2 linked regions of the Oreochromis niloticus genome follow. The protein of the gene in region 2 binds, or shares a complex with, the protein of the main gene of each other region. Links are inferred from orthologs where the notes say so. Each region holds a gene or a part of one and is shown on either strand. Other genes may lie near its edges.

Region 1 (7,021 bases), on a different chromosome or scaffold from region 2:
AGTACTGTGCAAAAGTGTTGAGTCACTCCTCTTTAAAAAAAAAAAAAAAAAAAAATAGTATCTAGTATTTTTTCCCCATTTATTTAGTTGAATCCATGATAAATGTCAAAGATAACACAGTATTTTTGCACCAACAAGATGATCCCCAAAGAGATATTAGCAGAAAACGTGGCATATCTCAACATGATATCTCAGTACATCCTTAAAGAATTTAAGGAAACTGAATAAATGCAGGACAAAGGTCTTAAAAGCTTTCAGCAGATGAAGAGTATCTGAAAATCATAACCTTAAGAAATATGCAAAAACCCCAGTAAAGACCTTTTAGAGCACCTGAGAGATGCATCAGGACCAGCAGGTACTCCATCTATTATAAAAGTGATGATACCCCCCATCCAATACTGCATTTTCATGCATGTTTGCACATTTCTGTAAATCTCTGCACATATTTCCCATTCACCTATCAACATATTAAAAAAAACAAAACACCATTACACAATGGTTACCAGCATCAAAACAACAGTACCTGAGCAGGGACAGGCTGTCCATCATCATCAAACACGGCTGCGCTCGGCTGCGTCACGGTTACGTTGACGATCGTGGTGATGTTCCACGCCAAAGGGTTATAAACGATGACATGCTGCTCCAAAGTCTGCTCAATATCTGCTACAGAGCAAATCGATGAGCAGTTTACTTCCTTTTTTACTTTTACATGCAAAGACATGCACTGGCTAACATGCTCTGTTTAGCTCAGTTAATTATTATAAAAACAGTTTGTTTTTTTTTTTAAAGTGGAAGCACTGCAGAAATATCAGATTATTGAAACCTTTTGTAGGGTAGCGCTCGCCAAGGATGCTGGGACTCTGGAGGTTGTGGGGCAGCAGAAAGAGAGCAGCTAGGAGCTCCTCTGCTCCCATCATGGCCTGCAGGAGATGCTGCAGGTACATGTCAGCCACTTTGGGAGACTCCGTGCCAGTGATGCCATCATGATGCTGCACCTGGAATACCAAACCACTACCAACTGAATGTTTGAACTTAATTACAGAGAAGTATTTAGCATGATGATTGCGTTGCCTTCTAATCCATATATATTTACTGCACCTTCAATGTTTTGCAGTATTTGTTATCTCACTATGTTTCAGGAATACCTCAGAAACAGCCCAGCGCAGCGCTCTGAGTTTGTCCAGGGCCCAGTCCTTGGCCACAGGTCCATCTGGGAAGCTGATTCGGTAGCGGGTGAAGAGGGTCTCTGCTGCGTACAGCCTGGAGCTGGCCTGTCGCGCCACGCCTTTCAGGACGTTTCTGGAGGCGTAAAACCCCGTCCATGCCTGGTAGGGCTCTAAAAAGTGCGACACATTTCCAATTTACATGAAGTTTGTACGAGACAGCGTTTCCTGTTTTCAAATACACAGTACTCTATATAAAGAGCACTCCTCACTGTTTTGATATCGATTTCTTACCAGTTGAATATGGCAGGAAGTCTTCACTCCCACGCACCTCCCAGGTTAGATTTGATTGGTAGATGGTCTGGAAGTATTCACTCAGAGTGGCGTACTGGACTGTTACCCCAAACTCTTTGCTGTTCTGGTTGATGTACTTCATCAGAGGGTCCATGTTGTTGAACTGTACTGATGAGTTGTAGAACTGTTTGTCACAACCCTACAACATGACGATCGCACATGTGAGTGGGCTGTTTCACAAAAATAACTCCCACATTTTGTCCCAAACCTTAGATACGTTTACCATAGACTGTATATAAAAGATGGACACTTCCACAGTAGAGTCCTACTTTGAAACTTCATTTTGAAGTTTCCCATTTTTTCTTTGTAACAGATCATTATTTGGAAAAGAGAGCGAAGTGGTAAGTCATCAGCTTACAATATCTAGCTTGATTAGGGTCAAATAAAAGATAGCTTCTTTTATGGTTTATTGGTGCCGTTACCCACACCAAGCAACATTATTTGTCAGATAACATCTTTAAAAGTAGTTCAAAAACAACAAAAGTTCTTTTGTTTTGCTTTACAAGCTTTAAACATGCTTTTAACCTGAAGTTTGACACTTCTACACAGGGGTTTGTGAGGATTTACTCACTTTTTGGAGCTCGCCTTTTTTAGGGCCTTTTCGGGAACTGCATTTTTAATACCTTGAGGCTGTTACTTGGATTTGATACAAGGTGGATGGATGGTTTTACAGTTCCTTTTGACTTACCCATGGCCAAAGTACATGATTAGTTCTAAACCACGCTGCTCTCTGCTTGATGTTCTCCACCATGGTCTTGGCGTAAGCATGGACTGTCTCCTTGGTCACGGGTAGGCTCATGTTGGGGTAAACTCCATCTTTAGGTGGGTCCGGAAACAAGGCAACTCCATTCCAATAAAACCCGGAACTGAGACATATGAGGAAGAACAAGAATGGTTATTAAAGATATATCTTATTAATGACGACCACAAATGTAACATAAAGCAGCAGAGAAGCTAAAAATGAAGCACCAGTTGGAGAACGGCAGGTAGGATGGAGTGCAATAGCTGAACTGGTCCATGGTGTGAGTGAAGATCTCTTGCTGTGATTTCAACGAGGGAGAGCCTCGCCATACAAACTGCAGTTTCTGTGTTAGGAAACATAAAACTAGATTAGCTATAAATATTTGGACCACAGATTGAGACGACCATGCGTCTTTTATTTTTATGTTGAGTTACCTTGTTTTTCTGCATGATATCCTTAAGGTCATAATCAATGCGAGAGATGAGATGTGCATTGAATCCAGCCAGGGCAAACAGTACAGGGGTGGTGGCAGAGGCTCCGAAAGGATCCACATGCCATGAGAACTGAGGACGCACCCCAAACGTCTCATACAGGAAGCCATGACCCTCTGAAACAGCAGGGAGGTTCTTGGTTACTATATACTGTGGCTATAACAAATGCACAGTGCGTGTTCCTCCCTGAGCCTGGTTCTGCTGGAGGTTTCTTCCTGCCAAAGGGGAGTTTTTCCTTCCCGCTGTCACCAGGCACTTACTTATATGCTGTCACTTGATCATTGGGGTTTTCTCACTATTACTCTAGAGCACGGGTCCCCAATCCCAGTCGACGAGGGCTGGTGTCCCTGCAGGTTTTAGATCTCATCCTGGGTCAACACACCTGAATCACATGATTAGTTCATTACCAGGCCTCTGGAGAACTTCAAGACATGTTGTGAAGGTAATTTATCCATTTAAATCAGCTGTGATGGATCAAGAACGCATCTAAAACCTGCAGGGACACCGGCCCTCGTGGACTGGGATTGGGAACCCCTGCTCTAGGGTCTTTACCTTACAATATAAGGCACCTTGAGGTGACTGTTGTTGTGACTGTGGTGCTATATAAATAAAACTAAACTGTACACACCCCTGTTAAAATCTCGGGTTTTTGTGATGGTTTATTGTGGTCTTATTTTTGTTTTAACAACAAAAACCTGACATTTTAACAGGAATTGTTCACATTTTTAGAACCACTGTAAGTTATTGCTGCAGCTGTGGACTGAAGGAGCAGGACGTGTGTGGCGTTACCCATCATCTGCAAGATGTCATCGTCCAGGTCAGTTACAGCCTCATCGTGCATCACTTGACCTCCGATGATGAACTCAAGACGACCTTCTTTGATAAGCTGTCGTACCTGGAGAGAAAGAGAGAGGCATGTGCACAAAAAACACAGCAGGGTTAATCTGAGAGAAAACAGCTTGGATGTTTCATTTTTGGGGCATTATCGTGTGCCCTCCACAGTCAGGTAGCCGTGAATACATGGCCTCACCTGTTTCTTTTGTGTGTCCGAGGCCACGGTGTCCCACCAGAGACGGAAAAACTCCTGCTCCACAGCGATGAACCTGCGCTCTTTAACCTTTGACAGCTCCTCAGTCACACTGCTGTACACATTAGCTGCATAGGCGTGCATACTCTCCTGCACTCACATTTATAAACACATTTACCCAGATTAAAGCCCAACCTGCGCGTTAAATGCATCTCAAGTTTAAAGCCGGGTTAAAGACACCTACCTGGATAGTGTACACCCAGCCAACATCCATGTGACTGTGAGGGATCACAAATGTCTGAATCGGCTCTTCTTGCCCTGCCACTCCATGCGAGAACCAGCAGCAAACAGCAAACACGACAGCCGCTACAAATCCCATTTTTGAATCCCATACGAGAGAAGACGGCTTAGATAACTTCGCCGACTTCCTTATTATTGTTGTGCTGCGGCATGTGACTCTGACGACGGAAGCCCAGACACACCAAACCGCCGACTTGTCGTGTCGCCTTTTTTTTTAAAGGCTCAGGTGACCTTTTCACCGGAAGCAGTCAGTGTAAACAGTGCGCACATTTGGAGGCGAGAGCGATATTTTTCTACCCAGCAGAGAAAATGTCTAAAAACACGAGAATAATGTTGGTGTTTGGAGGGTTTGTGACGGCCGTTGCTGCCGCGTTTTACCCCATATTTTTTTACCCCCTCACACACAAAGACGAGTACAGTGAGTACGCTTTCTTTGCTTTCATTTAGTTACACAATTAGTTTATAAAGCCTGGCCTAATGTCGTTTATAATTCTCCTTAGTTACGGCTGAGCTAAATGTCACTTTACTACACAAATGATAAGCAGTCCGTGTAGGCTTGTTTAGCTTAGCTAGCTTAAAGAGTGCCATTGAGGTAACTCATTTAACAAACCCATACATTCAGTTAGAGCGCCTGTTGGAGTCAAAGGTGATCATGAACATTATTTGACTTGAATAAATCCAGCTTATTTATTACTACTACATTTCTTCCCTGTTTTAAAGGGAGTTATGTCAGCTAAGACAAATATAGTCATTATCAGGTACATGGAGAGCTGTCGTCTTGACATACATGGGACATGAAGACAGTAGAAACTGGTAATAATCAGCTTTAGGAAAGGAAATTGTTTATATCAGTGACTTTAGCTGCAAGTTGTTGTTGTTTTTTTTCATACGTTTACCTAAATTGCTATGTTGTTCTGTCCTTGCTAGGAGAAGTCCAAAAGGTGAACCGGGCAGGGATCAACCAGGCAGATGTGCAGCCGGCGGGTAAGTGTGCTTAGTAGATTTGATCTGTTATCAGCTTGTTTGTACAGCTTGCATACTGTACATAAAAATTCATGAATTACAACATATATCTTAAGAGTAAAGGGGATCGCTATTGTTATATTTTCTCTCAAGTACAGTACTGTGCAAAGGTCTTAAAACACTCCTCATTTCTTTATATTTTGCAACAAAAATGGGAAACGGCTTCAGTAAGGTATTGTGCAAACATACATGGAATTACAGTATATAAAGGCAAAAACAGAGTTTGTACAATCCTAATGAGTTTGAAAGTCAGTATTTAGTATGACCACTAAATTCTTCATCACAGCCTGAACACTCTTACGCAATTCAATTTTATTTATATAGCACTAAATCACAACAGCAGTTGCCTCAAGTTAGCTTTCTTGTCATTTCTTTAAGTAGTCTTCAGGAATAGTTCTTCAGGCTTCTTGAAGGACATTTAAACCCCCTCTTTGGATGTTTCTGCCTTTTGTTCTGTTCTCTGTTAAGACGATCTCACACTACTTCAGCAATGTTGAGGTCCAGCATCTGGAGGCCAATCCATGACTGATAGACTGATACAGTCTATATATGTGTGTGATTATTATTAATGAGAGCTCTCTGTCTCTGTGTCTCTTTTTTTTTGTCTGAAGGTATGAAGATATGGTCTGATCCATTCAAGCCTGCAAGCAAATGATGACCACAGTGACCCCTTCACTGAGACGCTGCTGCAGACTCTGAGTACAGAGTGTCTTTTTGATATGTGCTTGGTGTGCGTGAGTGAATGACTGTTGAGTGATAAGTTACCTGTTAAATAAACTATAATCAACTACTTAAGAACCCAAACGTGGATATCTTTTTTTTATATTGTGTTTGGATGGAGGACGGCTAGCTACACAGAAGCACAGATACAAAACAATGACTGTTTTGTTTTTACCCTAAATTCAACCTAAAGCCTGCTGGTCTCCTGTTGCCCACATGAGGGCGCACCACTCCTGTGTGTTCCCGCTAAAGGCAGTGGACTGTGTAATGTCTTGTTTGTGCATCTGAGATATTTTGGAAAAACCATTGTATTTCCAAAAAAGCTTTGCTCTGGTATGCAGCCTGTAGGAAATTATAATAAAATGCAGTGGTTTGTTTACCCATCTCATTCACAGGAATCCCTTTTGACATTTTATTTTGATTTAGTTGATGCGAGAGTCATTAAATCGGTTCAGCAGATGAGGGACAATGTCCAGCAATGTGCGGTATCATCTTCCAAAATGGAAACAGTAGAGACAGAGTTATTCCAGGACACATCACTCTGTATTATCATTTCCCTGTCACGCAGGCAGGGTTTAACTGTTGCTGTTTAAATGACATGTGACCGGCTATGTTTTGCCCATAGGCTGAAAGGACGGGGCACGGCTCCACGATCGTCTTGTTCAAATCCTACTCGATGTGATCCAGACTCCCTTTACGAGTCCACGGGTGCTGTAAAAGCAGAGAATTCCAAAACTACCATTTTTTCCCCCCTGTACTTTTGTGGTTTCCTGACATTGACCAGCATCCCCCTTTCAGAGTTTGGTCCATCAAAGTCCTTCTGGAAGAAAGATAGATTAAGAAAGAACTAAAGCATGTGTTTATGGTCCTTCAGAGATGGGGCATATTTAAAGTTGCCCTTAAATCTTTCACAGTCCTCGATGTAGCCTGTACTTTCGAGCTTTTAGGGCCATTCGCGAGGCCCGCTGCCAGCAAAACTGACAGCGCAGGCCAGCAACGGCCACTCTCCTTCACAACCCCCAAATCAACAAGCCCCATTGTTTATGAGAGGTTGTTATTGTTGGGCTGCATTCAGAAACAAGAGAAAACTCAAGAGCCCGGCTGTGCAGAGGCGTCCAAAGTAAAGAGAGCAAAAGGAGTGAGGGGGTGGTTAAGGAAAAACGAAAAGCAGAAATTCCTCTCATTCCCCGCTGGTGTTTTC
Region 2 (7,759 bases):
CTAACTTGGCGGTAAAGTAATGGCGTAATGTAAAATACAGTGTTTGCATATGCATTAATGAGTTAAATATTAATGGGCCCAAATGTGCCCTATGACTATTATGTTAAACTTACCTAATTAACTTATGGTTGGTGTCAATGTGGAGCAGTGACAGAGGACCAGGAACACTGTATGTCCTTCTAACAACACATCCAAGATTTGCCATCCTTTCAAGGATTCCAGCACTGTCAACACGACGCATGGAATCCCATACTCTGTTCCACTGCACCCTGTGGCCCAGTGCCCTGAGGCGTCCTTTAACCATTCTGTAGCCTAAAAAGACATCCCATAGTGAAACAATTACAACAGCACATTGGAAGGCACTTATAGTACAGTAAATCAAACTACTAACTAATCATGACATTCAGCTAGTGTTATTCATGTAAATATGAAAGGTTGCAAGCAAGAAAAATAAAATAGAATCTTATTACAAGCATTATTTTTCACATGAATAACTAACCCAGACATTTCGATTCCTGTTTTATGGCTGCAATTAAGTTGTCAAGTTCATCATCTGATAGTGAGCTGTAGGTTGCCGTTATTGAGAGGCCCCACTCTTCCATTCTTCGTCGGACTGTTTTCTGCAATATGCCCAAAAGCTTGGAGATACAAGGAACGGAGAGGTCCATCTTTATTAGATCTTTGAGGTGGTCTTTGGAAACATAGAGCTTTGCCCTCCCCCGTTCACCAGCTGAGCTGTCAACAACAATGGCAGACCTTCTCGTATCCATATTGGAATGGATGAGGCAGATAAGGTGGTGAAGAGCTTCAACTACCTAAAAAATGGTTGCATTAAAATATTTAGTTGGATGAAATCCTAGAATTCAGTTTTACCATCTTAGTAACATTATTCTTATCCCCAATCTTTATATTGAAACTAGAGCTGGGCGATATAAGATTTTTTCATATCACGATATGTTTTTTTCATTTCAGGCGATAACGATATATATCACGATATAAGCCAAATAACTATATTTGTAAGTTTTAAATGTGCCGTTACTCACAAGTAAAATGTGAAATAATCAGCAGCTTGTTTTGATTTAAATATTTATTTCCCATAATAAGTTGTATTATGTATGAATGTGTGTGTGAATGGGTGAATGACTGGATATGTAAAGCGCTTTGGGGTCCTTAGGGACCATAAAAGCGCTATATAAATACAGGCCATTTACCATTTAAGTTCAACAGGGTAGATGTACTTAAGGAACATGAGACTTCAGTTTCAGATAAATAAAGGCAAATATTGCAAACTACACAAAAGGCAGCCGCTAAAGCGTTTAAGTTTCAAAATAGAACAAACAAAACAGACTAAATTGTCAATTCCACTTAGAAACAAAATATTAATTCTAAAAATAAATCTTAGTTTGTTTTACAGAAGAACAGACAAAATTGACTAACTTTTGTCAATATCAAATAAACTGAGAACTAAAAGGAAATTCTCAATCTCTCCTTGTTGTATAGCTTAGCTTTTCAAACAGTTTTAACAGTTACTTTAGTCTGACAAAAGCCGAATGACGAATCAGCGCTTTCAGTCAGAGATTGAGCATGCACCGCTTTATTGTATTTCCAGACTTGCTTTCGGCACAATTTACAGTGCGCGCTACTCTGTTTTTTGTCAGACTTGAAATAGCCGAAATACCTTCACACTACGGAACTTCTGTGGCCCTTCCGTTCGACAAGCTCTCCGGCATTGGAACCATCATCTGTTTTTTCTTCGGTAACCTTCGCTCACGCTCTCGGTTGATTTTTCTCTAGTCGGCACACTCACTTCCTTCATTACCCGGGCTGCACGGCTGCAAAAACAAATACACATGTGCGCCTTGGCGCTTGTGCTGTACGTAACAAGTCACGTGACGTGACGCTGCGGCTGTGATTGGTTCGGCTCTGCGCTACTTAATTTTGATTGGCTGTTCTTTTTTTTCTTTTTTTTTAAGAGGACAAGAGAGATGAGGCCTATCGCAATAGTTTAATTTTTCTATCGAGAAAAAGTTATTTCGCAATACATATCGTTATCGTTTTATTGCCCAGCTCTAATTGAAACACAGAACAAAATTTCATCTTGGATTTAACAAAGCAATGGATGACAGGTTTATTTGTATAGCATAATTACTACACTGTAAAATTAACATTATAAGATACATAAGAATGGCATATATTGAAACGATTTTTAAAGATAACCAAAACTAAATCAAATAAACCTACCAGTGATGGAACATTAATATGAGCAGAAAGAGAACAGACTAGAGTTGATGCGTTCACGCAGAGGAACTCAATATGATCAAGGTCCAAGGGCTGCTGTTGGTAGGACTGCACCAGCCTATTTTGAAGGTTTTGGAAAACATGTCTTCCTAAAGCCACCTGAAAGAAGAAAAAATTGATGGAATTACTGATATCATATGAAGTGCATTGAAGGAACAATGATATGTCAAACTGCGTAAAACTCAATAAAACCAAATAATATTCTCATGAAAATCTTTTTATTTTGATTAACTTTGTAATACAGTAAAGAAACTGAATTGCATTAAAAATTATTTTTAAATATGTTCTATCCTGTGCCACCTTGCTATATTCAAAAAATTCAAACAACATTACTTTAATAATGAAAAAAAAATGAACTCACCAAAGAGTCACAGGGACATCCAGGTTCTCTGTTCTGGAGGGAGATAGACCAAGGTCCACTTGATTTACAGTCACCTGTTAAGTAAAACAATCAGACAATTTTCAAAGATTTACACGTTTCTCTATGGATGTATCATACACTCTCCTATTTAGAAGGGTTCTCTCTGAAGTACCCCGTGGATGTTCCCATGATGACACAGATGACCCACAAATTTAGTATAGCACACTTCAAAACACATAACCCGATGAAGAAAGACTTTAAAAGTCCCTAAACACATTTGACATCTGTTAGGGTTGAAAATTTATTTACAAGTTTACAAAATTATTAAATAAGGCTGTTTCATTATTTTTTTAAGATGTACACAATGCAAATGTGCTCATAAGCATGTTGGCACTCCATGTTTGAAGGTTGAGAGCGTCATTCAGCGCTGTATTTGAAATATTGCAGGGACACAGAGTGCAGAGGGGTTTTTTGCAGCATGCTTACAAACACACGATAATGGTTAGATTAGTCTCTGGGTTAGGGAGTCTGAACAAGATGCCCTGAACTGGGCCTTAGAATCAGCATCTGTTTTTATGTCACAGTATATAAGCTGTAAAGCCCGTTTCAGCATTATCCTTTTTGGGAAGCTGGTTCACACAAAAGGCTGGCACTATAAACTTGTAATTTCAACTGCTGAAGCAAATTCAATCTTTTTAAATCTTTTTCTCCTGAATTCCTTCTTAAAATTTTGAACAAGACACATCCAGTAAAGCAAATATCAACAGACGTTAGCTTACTGACACCAGACAGACACTGCACTACAGTTACTACAGAAGCATTCTTGGTCAATCTGGTACTGTATGACAGAGTACTTCTTAATGTCGCTGCCTATAAGCTGTCATAAATCCCAAAACGCTCACTGAAGCTAGGTCCCCTAACTTTCAGTAGCTGCTGAAAGTTGTTGTGTGCTGTAATTACTGTAGTATTACTCTAACACAAACTCGGGGGTGACCTGGGACCAGTGCTAAGGTCAAGTCAGAGCATTTCAGTTCCAATTATTACCAAAACGACATCTCATCGGGATTAAACTCCAAACACATAATTCTCCACGATGCTGATGTTTAAGCAGACAGACCGTGCCACACAGGAGACTATTTGAACACATGCAACACTAGGGCTAATGTTGAGAGCCCTTTTTAGGCTAGCTTTTGGCACCGAACCGAACATGATATTCAAAAATATATGTCTGGACAATTAGCTTGTTCCAGTAAACCATAAATTAAAGCTTACTTGCGCCGCAGAAGCGCCACCGCTGCCCTCCATCTTCAAATTGTGTTACCCTTCCAGGACCTGAAGGTCCGTAAAGCATCCCGCCCCCCGTCAGCCAAACCCATCTGTTCTCTGATTGGATTATTTAATTTGTGATTGACATGACATTGACCAATCAGCTTAAAGGAAGAAAAATAGGGTCAAAATTCGTACTTGTAACTTGCAGGGTTTTTTTGGCTAAGTCCACACACAAATCTTTTTTACACACACACAAATTTTTTTTACACATACAAATCCTGATTTACAAGTACAAAATATTTATGACCACATTTTGAGCCCATAGACTTGGTCAGGAGTTATTTGTTTTAATGTCTATATTTAGAGTTTCAATGAGTCTTTTTTCACTTTCAATACAAAATGTTTCTGTTTATTTATTTTAGTTACAATATTATTTTTCAATGCCAATATTTTTTAGTTTCATTTTAAGCTGGCTTCTTTTAAACCCCATAAGAAATCAGATGATAAAGTACAGAGAGTGGAACTGGTACTACACGAAGGAGTCAGGAGTGACATGTGAGGGTGATGCAGGACATGTATGAGGCCAGAGGGACGGTGGTGAGACGCGCTGTGCTGCTGATGAACCACCATAAACAGGTCTCATGTAGTACTGCGGTAAAGGACGGCTTCCAGCTTCAGCTTCTTTCTGCAAAGAGTCTCACTGAATCATGCCCGACAGGATCTAATATCATATTTGGATAAACACCGCCTGCGCGAACAAGCGACGACGGGCGCAACCGGCTGTTTAATAAAGCGCACCCACAACCGATTGGCTATGTGTTTTGTGACGTTAACGGATGTAGAGCGAATACAATGGTCCGCCGTAACGCAAGGTGAGTGTTTGTGTAGATGTGTGACCGGCGTGTGGTGTTATAGTTGTATCCACGGATGCAGCCCTTGAACTGTGACACACCTTAGCTATTTAAATATCATTTTCTTTCAAGTGAATAACGACATTTAGACATATATAGAAGATAACCTTGACATGCAGTGTATGTGTTTCAGCAAACTGGACATCTCAGCCCTTTGTCCTCGTTTCCCTTCCTCAAGAAGCAAATTATATTTAAAAAAGAAAAGTGTTAGTTTTTCAAACCCCGTGTGCTTAGCTATACTTAGGGTGACCAACTGTCCTCTTTTTTTGCACTTGTTGACTTGTAAAAGCTTTTATGACACTTTTTATTTCACCTTTTACCGCACAGAGAAGGCATCATTTAAATATGTTTTCTTTAAGCAAACAGTATTATTAAAGTTCTTCATGACTGGGCCAAGTGTCCTCTTTTTTTGGAAATCAAAATATGGTCACCCTAACTATACTTATTTACTTGTTGCTTCTGTAGACAGTTTGAAAAATCTACACAGATGCATCAAAGAATACAGCCAACCAAAGCGGGATAGCATTTATTGTTCCTGAGTTTAATATCAAGGTCGGGAAAAGGATCAGTGACGATTTATCAGTGTACACAGGAGAAATGGTTTCAATATTGTTAGCTGTCCAGTGGACTGAAGAAACCAGACCACTAAGATCTGTGATACGCTCGGACTCGAACTCATCACTGGCTGGTTTGCAAGGCAATCACTCAGAATGCAGACCTGACATTCTGATAGAGATCCAGCAAACATTATTCAGAACTGTTATGATGGGGCTTATGGTCACATTCTTATGAGTATCAGCAGAAATGAAACAGCAGATAGGACAGCAAAAGAAGCAACAAGGAGACCAATGATGGATATGGTTATTAGTGTTAGTAGGACAGAGATCAAGAGTAGAATACGATACAAAATGAAGGAAAGGTGGCAAAAGCAATGGGAGGAAGAGAGGAAAGGCCGATGGTTTTACAAAATCCAAAGGAAAGTAGGAGAAATGAGATGTACAGGAAGAAACAGGAGAGAGGAGACGGTTGTATCTCGACTTAGATTCGGACACACTGGTTTGAATAGCACATTACTTTTAATAGGAAAACACTGTACAGGGGAGTGTGACTGCAGTAGGGAACAGGAAACAATAGAACGTTTTGTTGCATTGTCAAAGTATGATGTTGAAAGAAGACAACTGATCAAAAAGCTGGATGATATGAGAGTCAAGTTGGACTTGATTGATTTATTTCGTACAAACTCTGTAAGTGAAAATAATCAGGCTGTATTTTGGTTTTTAAGGCAGACCCATTTGTTTGGGAAGATTTAAATTTTTGTATTTTTTTTTTGTCATTTCGGTCCACACTCCACGCCAGTTGGTGGCGGTAATGCACCATTTTGCTGTTTGCCAACCACCAATAAACCCCATAAAGAAGAAAAGAAGCGTTCGTCTTCTCTCTCTCCATGAGTTTGACCTTCTTAGGCCTCTGCATGTCAGCTAAACAGAGACTCTCAGCTGCAGTTAAACTTCCTTATTATCGTGGTGCAGCCATTGTTTTCATCCTCAGTCTGACCATTTTAGGGAGATCCACTTGCGCTGATATAATGCTGCCAGGCTGAGCCTAACATTTTGGCTCATCAGTTTCCGTTTTATTTGTCATATAGAAGTTAGCACAGGATCAAAATGTATTTGACGAGCAGAAGACAGTCACTCCGCAGTATAGTAAGGGTTAAGGGTCAGTAAGAGTGAGGGTTTTTATTTTTATTGAAATAGTAATAAAAAAAATAAAAATGGGGTGACCAGTGCTGAGTGTATTATGTACCTGTGAAACTGCAGAACAGCTGTGTGCATCCTGTGAAGTGTTGTGGTTGAGATGTCGACTTGGTGGTAAAAACAGTTTTTGAGTCTTGTAGTCGGAGCAGACAGACTCCTGTAACGTCTGCCAGATGGTAACAAGGAGAACAGCTGATGTGCTGGGTGGCTGTGGTCCTTGATGATGCTGTGTGCTTTACGGAGGCACCGTTGAAGATAGATCCTGAATGACAGGAGTCCTCATGCTCTGCTGCTTTCACTCTCTGTAGAGATTTCCGGCTGCTGGCAGAGCAGCTTCGAACCAAACTGTAGTGCAGCTCATCAGCAAGCTCTTGATCGCACACCTGTAGAAGTTTGAGGTTATGTTGGCGTTCATGCCAAACTTCCTCAGCCTCCTCAGACAGTAGAGTCGGTGGCGAGCTTTCCTGATAGCAGTGTCTGTGTGAAGGGTCCAGGAGAAGTCCTCAGTGATGTTGACTCCAAGGAATTTGAAGCTGCTGACCCTTTCGACCTTGACACCGTTGATGTGGATGGGCTGGTGTTCCCCGACTGGTCGTTTCCGGTAGTCCACTATCATTTCTCTGGTTTTGCTGATGTTAAGAGACGGGTTATTTCCAGGCACCACTCGTACAGCACCATCACCTCCTCTCTACCTGTGCTAGCTTTGGACATGTTCAATCTTAGCATCCACCATAAAAACAGTAGATACATGACTGAAAATAAGGGAAAAAATCAAAAGCATGAACCATACTTGACTTTATAGCTATATGTATTGGATGTATTCACAGTTATTTGGATATGGAGTGGTTATTCTTATGGTGCACTTTGTGATGGATTATGTATGTGCATGTATGTGTCTTTGTGTGTTGGCAACCTTTACCATCATTAGCTGAACTGTCTCATGGATGCAGGCGGTGATATTAATAGTACTTGTCCAACTGTATGTGCGTAGGAGAGAGGGTCAGTGCGTCACCATATTTTTTGCTATTAAAAATGACAAAACATGTTTTTTCTTTTTCAGAAAATTGGAAATGTGTAAGACTTAAGCCTCTCAGAAACTTTTAGATTGTTTTCTAAAGTCACCACAGAATTCACGGCAAATCATGAATACTTCCTTATTAAAACAC

What was found. The genes of interacting proteins can lie anywhere in the genome.
Region 1: coa1 (region 2) and smim20 share a complex: the UniProt entries of both Homo sapiens proteins name them as parts of the MITRAC (mitochondrial translation regulation assembly intermediate of cytochrome c oxidase complex) complex. The link is inferred for Oreochromis niloticus from reciprocal best matches to the Homo sapiens genes COA1 and SMIM20.

What each region holds. Positions count from the first base shown.
Region 1 is NC_031967.2:19,539,613-19,546,633, reverse strand, and holds smim20 (small integral membrane protein 20), read left to right. Parts: upstream 1-4,320; 5' UTR 4,321-4,386; coding exon 4,387-4,495; intron 4,496-5,004; coding exon 5,005-5,061; intron 5,062-5,711; coding exon 5,712-5,755; 3' UTR 5,756-5,904; downstream 5,905-7,021. Other genes in the region: man2b2 (epididymis-specific alpha-mannosidase), read right to left, coding at 524-663, 824-995, 1,146-1,336, 1,458-1,656, 2,206-2,383, 2,487-2,602, 2,694-2,866, 3,540-3,645 and 2 more.
Region 2 is NC_031982.2:1,694,989-1,702,747, forward strand, and holds the start of coa1 (cytochrome c oxidase assembly factor 1 homolog), read left to right. Parts: upstream 1-4,466; 5' UTR 4,467-4,742; coding exon 4,743-4,800; intron 4,801-7,759. Other genes in the region: uncharacterized protein LOC100710183, read right to left, coding at 114-312, 500-815, 2,242-2,397, 2,660-2,733, 3,932-4,010. UniProt on the Homo sapiens protein: Component of the MITRAC (mitochondrial translation regulation assembly intermediate of cytochrome c oxidase complex) complex, that regulates cytochrome c oxidase assembly.